Linked DNA regions of Lepisosteus oculatus. The protein of the gene in region 1 interacts with the protein of each later gene in a biochemical or structural test. Links are inferred from orthologs where the notes say so. Each region holds a gene or a part of one and is shown in the gene's direction. Other genes may lie near its edges.

Region 1 (3,746 bases):
GGGGCCAGACAGGGGCGGCGATGGACGCGTCAGCGGTGGCCTCGGGTCCCCCTCGCGGACGGGTCACTCCTCAGCCTGTCCCACGCAGACGGGAGGGCCGGAGTGTGGAGGAGGAGGAGGTGGTGTGTTTCTTTTTCCCCATCAGTATATTTGGGCTACAAATACAGAGAACATACTGTATATTGGACTGCCCTCTCCGTGGTGGCAGTGCGTTCGCTCTCTGGCTCAGCATCTGCGCCTGTGGCTGGGAGGTTGCCGGTTCGAATCCCGTGGCCGGCAGAGGAATCCTACTCCGCTGGGCCCCTGAGCGAGGCCCCTTCACCCCAGCTGCTCCAGGGGGCCATGTAAATGGCCGACCCTGTGCTCTGACCCCCAGCTTCTCTCTCCCTGTCTGTGTGTCTCACGGAGAGCAAGCTGGGGTCTGCGAAAAGACAAATTCCTCATGCAAGAAATCGTATAGGGCCGATACAGTGATCTTCTCTTATCTTTCTCGCACCTGAAGAAGGCTCCGCGGCCGAAACGTTGTGTTTTCCTTCTTCTCTTTTCAGCCCGGAAGATTACTTGTTCCTATAGACATAGAATTTCTATAGAGCGACGACCGGAGCTGAACAGCGTTTCAGCGTCTGTTTTGAAAGAAAAAAAAAACCCCAGGCTTGGTTTTTTTTGTATGACAAACGAACCCCGAACAGTACGACCATGGTGACGCCACATGCAACGCAAAAACATCGTGGGGAAGTAATTTGTGTTTTGTACGACAATAGTCCTTTTCCCCTTTGGCGCTGGGACTACAATTACAGGTTAAACGGCCATTCGTGGTCTGTTCCTGTAGCGCCCGCACGGCGGCGCTGTGAGAAATGCCGACGAGAACCTCCTCGCGCCCCGGACATCCCTCTTCCAGCAGAGAAGCCAAAGAAGGGAGGGAGGGAGGGGGACGTCAACGTGACTGATGGGCCAACCAGAGAGCTCCTTCCCGCGGGCCGCGACTCAGAATCAACCAATAGGAGCCGTGTGGGGGCGGGGCCCGGGGGAGCGCCCTCTTCCTGGTCTGGTCTGGTTGCGTTGCGGGGAGACCGAGAGAGCCGGGGCTGGTGTTCAATTCGTTTACTTAATGGGTTTGCTGACGATCCTGAAGAAGATGAAACAGAAGGAGAGGGAGATGCGCTTGCTCATGCTGTATCCTTTGCAATACCGGCGGAGGTCAGGAGATTTGTGGGGGAGGGTGTCCCCACTGGATAGCTCAGCTGTTTAAGGGGTTCCCCGAAAATCGCGGCAGTTGCCCTGAGTACTCGAGAGCTCATCTGGAATGAACGTCTTCTCCTGACATCATCGCGCACACACACACACACACGCAGTCGTTCTGTGCTTGCCCTTGTGTGCAAGTTATTTTTCGGAAGAGATGACCGGGCGACTCTTCTCCCTCGGTCTTCGGTTCTCTCGGCGACACGGAAGCCCGTCGCGGATCTGCTGTGCTGGCGTGTCCGTCTCTGGCCCTCTGTGTGTCAGGTCCTCCTGTACGTGCGTGCTTCTGCGGTTCAGCACTGAGGGGGCCCAGGGTTCGATTCCTGGGGTGCTGTCTGTGTGGAGTTTGCATGTTCTCCCCCCCCACACACACACACACACACACACACACACACACATGGGCTTCCTCCAGGTACTCCTGTTTCCTCCCACAGCCCAAAGACGGGCTGGTGGGCTTCTGGGAAAACAGGCCCTGGTGTGAGTGTGTGTCCCGCGATGGACTGGTGTCCCGCGATGGACTGGTGTCCTGCCTTGCTCCCGTTGCCTGCTGGGATAGGCTCCGGCTCCCTGGATACAGCGGTCAGGGCCTGGACGGATGGACCCGCGGTTTCCCCCCAGCTGTGTGGACATCTGTCTGTCTCCACCCGCCCGGTCTTCACTAACACCCCCGCCGTCATCGTCGTCCTCATCAGGACGATGACACTGGCCCGCGGGAGTCGGTCTGTCCGCCCGGGGGGGGTCCTGGGACAGACCAGGGGCGTCAGAGGAGCTGGAGCGTGTTTCCTTGACGCAGGCGTTCCCCCAGGGGCCTGGACAACGCGGGCAAGACCACCATCCTGAAGAAGTTCAACGGGGAGGACGTGAGCACCGTCTCGCCCACCCTGGGGTTCAACATCAAGACCCTGGAGCACCGGGGGTGAGCGGGGGGGGGTTAGAGAGATATAGAGAGGGGGGTTCAGAGAGATTGAGGGGGGTTCAGAGAGAGAGGGAGGGGGGTTAGAGAGATATAGAGAGGGGGGTTCAGAGAGATTGAAGGGGGGTTCAGAGAGAGAGGGAGGGGGGTTCAGAGAGATTGAAGGGGGGTTCAGAGAGATTGAGGGGGGTTCAGAGAGAGAGGGAGGGGGGTTAGAGAGATATAGAGAGGGGGGTTCAGAGAGATTGAGGGGGGGTTCAGAGAGATTGAGGGGGGTTCAGAGAGATTGAGGGGGGTTCGGAGAGAGAGGGAGGGGGGTTCAGAGAGCTTGAGGGGGGTTCAGAGCGAGCGAGGGGGGGTCCAGAGAGATTGAAGGGGGGCTCAGAGAGAGAGGGAGAGGGGCTCAGAGAGAGAGGGAGAGGGGCTCAGAGAGAGAGGGAGGGGGGTTCAGAGAGATTGAAGGGGGGCTCAGAGAGAGAGGGAGAGGGGCTCAGAGAGAGAGGGAGGGGGGTTCAGAGCGAGCGAGGGGGGTTCAGCGCGAGCAAGGGGGGGTTCAGAGAGAGATTGAAGGGGGGTTCAGAGAGAGAGGGAGGGGGGTTCAGAGAGATTGAAGGGGGGTTCGGAGAGAGCGAGGGGGGTTCAGAGAGATTGAAGGGGGGTTCGGAGAGAGATGGAGGGGGTTAGAGAGATATAGAGAAGGGGGTTCAGAGAGATTGAAGGGGGGTTCGGAGAGAGAGGGAGGGGTTCAGAGAGATTGAAGGGGGGTTCGGAGAGAGCGAGGGGGGGTTCAGAGAGATTGAAAGGGGGTTCAGAGAGATTGAAGGGGGTTCAGAGAGAGAGAGAAGGGGTTAGAGAGATATATAGAGGGGGGGTTCAGAGAGATTGAGGGGGGGTTCGGAGAGAGAGGGAGGGGGGTTAGAGAGATATAGAGAGGGGGGGTTCAGAGAGATTGAAGGGGGGTTCGGAGAGAGCGAGGGGGGGTTCAGAGAGCGAGGGGGGGTTCAGAGAGAGTTGGGGCAGGTCAGAGTAAGGGGACACTCCAAGTCTCCCACCACCTCCGCCCTCCCCGCAGGTACAAGCTGAACATCTGGGATGTGGGAGGGCAGAAGTCCCTGCGCTCCTACTGGAGGAATTACTTCGAGAGCACCGACGGGCTGATCTGGGTGGTGGACAGTGCTGACCGCCTCAGACTGGAGGACTGCCGGCAGGAGCTCAGCTCCCTGCTCCTGGAGGAGGTACGAGCACACTGCTCGCTCGCTACACGCCCACTGCTCTCCTGCTGCCCACTGCAGGCCTGAGCCCGGAGCCTCGCCACTGCGGGAGATACGGTTCAGCACTGCGGCACAGGGCCCAGCGCATCGCCGCCTCAAAAGCTCTGGGGCTCTGGGTTCGATTCCTGGGGCGCTGTCTGTGTGGAGTTTGCACGTTCTCCCCGTGTTCACATCGGTTTCCCTCTCTCTCCGGGGGCAGCGCCTGGCCGGAGCCACCCTCCTGGTTTTCGCCAACAAGCAGGACCTGCCGGGGGCGCTGTCCAAGGACGCCATCCGTGAGGTGAGTGAGCGCCCACAGGGGGGCGCCGCCGCCGCCGCCCTGC
Region 2 (3,746 bases), on another chromosome or scaffold:
TCGACGCTACTGCATGTCGCAGCCAGAGACTCCTGCGCTTAGATTTTATTTCTGCTTTTATTATTTTATTCACCCGTTCGCGTCCCCCACCCCCCTCACTGCCAACTGCATTTAATTTGTGTATCCTATTCCTGAATAAATGTGGACAGTCTTTTAACGACACATCTTGAGTCTGGTTTCTGAACGAGCCCTGAATGTTTCCCCGAAAAACAAACAAACAACAACAACCGAAGTTTTCCCCGCGCAACACCGACAGCGAGCGCGGTCTCGGCGAAGTATGGCAGCGCCGTGTCTCTTGAGCGTCGCCGCCCACCGCGGTACTCACGGGATCCGAGAGAGCACAGCGCAGGGGGGCTTCCTACAGGAGCCAGCAGCGAGGGGCGCATCCGACATTCTGGGCTTCTCCCTGAAACACACCACCAGACTGAGAGACAGCATGTTAATTATAATAATAATTGCTGACACTTATATAGCGCTTTTCTGGACACTCCACTCAAAGCGCTTTACAGGTAATGGGGATCCCCTCCACCACCACCAGCATCCACCTTAAGCGGATGTTAAGCGCAGGGGAGATCGTCTTTGTCATTGCTGGAATTGATCACATCGACACTCGCGGTTTCGAGGTGCTTCGCCAGGCAGGACAGCTCCGGCGGCTGGGATGACGGCAGGCGGGGATTGTATCGAGGCGGCTGGTCGTCGCTCAAATCCGGGCGTTACTGCGGCGGGTGTCATGTCTGAACTTCAGCGCCGCCGCCGCCGCCGCCTGCACTGACATTCTGTTCGTTTCGGACTCATCACACGGATTTATCCAGAAGTTCAGCGAGATCCTCAGAGCTCCTCAGCGCCGGAGACGGGGAGCGAAGGCTGTAGCGCAGAAACACCACATTTCAGTGACTTATCTTGGGCTACACTTTGAAAATTAAAAGTAGATTAGCCCACTTGTTTCCTGCGATATTTTATTGTCCCGACTTTTGCACTTCCTGAATATATACTGTATGGGGGGCATGAAATGCTATTCACAAGGGCTGTGTGGTGTAGCTGTAATAAATAAATGGTGGATGTTAACTACGTAACACATTTCTATTCAATATTTTGGTCGTAATCCTCATAATAAATAGGGCGACGTCTTGAGCAGATTACTGCAAACTGCGTGCCCGTGGAAACGTTCAAAGCCAAGCTCTGAGACACGGGTACATCGCTACCCAAACCCACTGAGCGAAGAAAAAAAAAACGACAACTTCTCCTCAGCTTCCTGCCAACGCAGAAAAATGGGCCATACCACAAGTCTGAGAGGGGAGGTTTCGGTACAGAGGCAGATACATTTCACGATTATCCAGGCGTGAATGGCGACAAACACGTCTGAGTCTGGCTGCAGAATCTGTCGTTCGCCGCCCCAGACGTGCGCCGGTCGCTCCGGCCGCTGGCGCTACCGCCGTTGTGACACCAGAAATAAAGGCTTCTCCCTTTCCGAAAGCCGGGGAAACTAAGTGGGACCCCACTGTGTACAAGAGCGTGTGCATGTCTGTGGCGTGTGCGCGTCCGTCAGTGTCTGTGTTGCGGAGAGACCGCTTCCTTTGCGTCTCGGCCGGAGAGAGTGGCGCTCGGCGAGCTAGCGCTCAACACAGAGCCGGCACAGGCGCAGTCTGGCGCGGGCGGCGGATGCTCTGGGCAGTCGCTGGCCGAAAACGGAAAGGATCTGTAGAACAGGGGGATTTAAATAAAATACCGAGCGGGCGCACTAGCAGCGAAGCGACTGACGGGAGCGAGCGAGCGAGCGAGCGAGGGAGAGAGAGGGGGGAGAGTGTTTTGTATCTTTACTAGTGGGGGGGAGGAGGAGAATGAGCTATTCTTGTATCGGCACAGAGGCTGTCTGCAATAGCCAGGACTCATCCAGCAGCAGCGCTCAGAGGTCTGGCACTAGTAAAAGCAATAATCCCAGCGGTGGCAGCGGCAGAAGCGCGGAGAGCAGCGACCACCAGACCCAGGACACCCCGACCCCCAAACCACTCGTGGCAATGAGAGTGAAGAAAGGCTGTAACTCCACCGAAACAGGGGTCCCGGTCACCACGGAGGAGGAACTGCTCAGGAAACCCGTGATCACCCCCGAGGATGTGCTGGGGTTGCAGAAGATCACCGAAAGTAAGTGGCGTCGGTTATTGCAGTTATCGTCATCGCTGTCGCGGCGTCCGGTCTTAAAGGATGCCCGTGTGCGCGGTATCTCGCTCCGGTAATGTTCGGCACCCGAAGGGCGGACGGGGACCGTATTTCCTAGGTGCCACATTGGGGCGATACCGACGGGGTAGCTAGAGTCTGCGACGTCGCTGCTCGGCTCTTCCGTGGCGTGGAAACTCTCATCTGCACCCGTTGTTTCCTGTCTGAACGGATCAAATACAGCCCGTCAGGGGTCGGAGTTTCACCGCAGATCGGTAGTTTTCTGTTCAGGGAAGACCTGGTTAGTTTGGCATAAATGTGCGCTTTAAAGAGGAGTGCAGTAGGAGTTCAGCCCCGATATAGAAACAACCTTGGCACCCCCACTTGAAACCGCTACACCTTAGCAGCGCGATAACCAGGATGAGGAGCACAGTTGCTGTTATAAACGCTACCCCCGGTTTGGTGGTTGTTAGCATCTCGGAGCTCCGTATCTCATGTACAGCTTGACAATCTGTTTCCCAGTAGGTCTCCCCCGTGCATTACAGCCGACGGGTATGATTGTGAAGGGGCGAAACCTCTTTCACAGCCCTCATTTACCTGAGAGGCTGAAGTACAGACCGCTGTTGAGCGACAGCTCACAAACACGGCGAGAGCTCGCTCATACAGTGTGTTCCCAGCCATTTCCTCTTGATCCGCTATAGCGTTATCATTAAACGCAAGCAGAAACTGATCTTATACCGCTGCCCGGTTCCTGATGTTGGTTTTCACGTTAAATGTCTTTCCAAACCCCTGATATTTCAGGGAGCGCAAGAGTGTGTGTTAACACGGACGGGAAAAAGGCTGCCAGGTTTTAAGACGGATCTGTAATGGACATGTTATAAGCGGCTTCCCGACACTGGACTCGCAGCCTTCTGCGATACAGTGGGCTGGAAAGGGAGACAGAGAGCCTTATGTAATTTTCCATTACAGAAAACGCAAAGGTTTTCCGACCGTTCCTCGACCTTAAATACTTAGGATTGACTTCAGAATATGTGGATATGTTAATAAAATAATAGAAGATATAATCCTGGAAATAAAACAAATGTGTTCCCAAGCGGACAGGGGTGAGACAGACAGCGAATACGTTGCCACATTCACACCGGGTCTGCCACTGGAAGGAAAATGCCTGCCGGCAATAAGGGATTAGTCACTCGTTATCTTTCTCCCATAGTCTCATCCCGCAGTCTCTCTCTCTCCCGCTGCGTGAGTGTGCATGAACTGTGCATGTTTCTGCGGAGACTGAGCCACAGTGTCCCAACAGCGGTAACGAGTGACATGACGCGTGTGCAGGTGCGCACACGCAGAACCGCGAGTGTCGCATCCCGAGCGGCGCCGGGCCGCTCTGTGACTGACCTGACCCTGGGTAGGCAACAGGTGGTCGCATGGATCGAGAAAGGCGGGCCCTGGCTATTTTAAGAACCGCGGAAGATGTTACACAACGCACAGCCGCCGGTTTTATTCCGGCCTGTTTCTGAGCGATTGCTTTTGGTCTGCTTTGGCAGTGCCCAGCGCGGGCTCTGCGGGGGCCGTCTGTTTAACCCCCCCCCACCCAGCGT

The links.
Region 2: the proteins of arl2 (region 1) and unc119a1 form a complex in vitro, tested with the Homo sapiens proteins (2 studies listed by BioGRID and IntAct, with this or other methods). The link is inferred for Lepisosteus oculatus from reciprocal best matches to the Homo sapiens genes ARL2 and UNC119.

The regions. Positions count from the first base shown.
Region 1 is NC_090713.1:21,450,152-21,453,897, reverse strand, and holds the start of arl2 (ADP-ribosylation factor-like protein 2), read left to right. Parts: upstream 1-1,013; 5' UTR 1,014-1,108; coding exon 1,109-1,173; intron 1,174-2,044; coding exon 2,045-2,155; intron 2,156-3,224; coding exon 3,225-3,387; intron 3,388-3,622; coding exon 3,623-3,703; intron 3,704-3,746. UniProt on the Homo sapiens protein: Small GTP-binding protein which cycles between an inactive GDP-bound and an active GTP-bound form, and the rate of cycling is regulated by guanine nucleotide exchange factors (GEF) and GTPase-activating proteins (GAP).
Region 2 is NC_090721.1:8,824,574-8,828,319, reverse strand, and holds the start of unc119a1 (protein unc-119 homolog A), read left to right. Parts: upstream 1-1,538; 5' UTR 1,539-1,838; coding exon 1,839-2,139; intron 2,140-3,746. UniProt on the Homo sapiens protein: Involved in synaptic functions in photoreceptor cells, the signal transduction in immune cells as a Src family kinase activator, endosome recycling, the uptake of bacteria and endocytosis, protein trafficking in sensory neurons and as lipid-binding chaperone with specificity for a diverse subset of myristoylated proteins.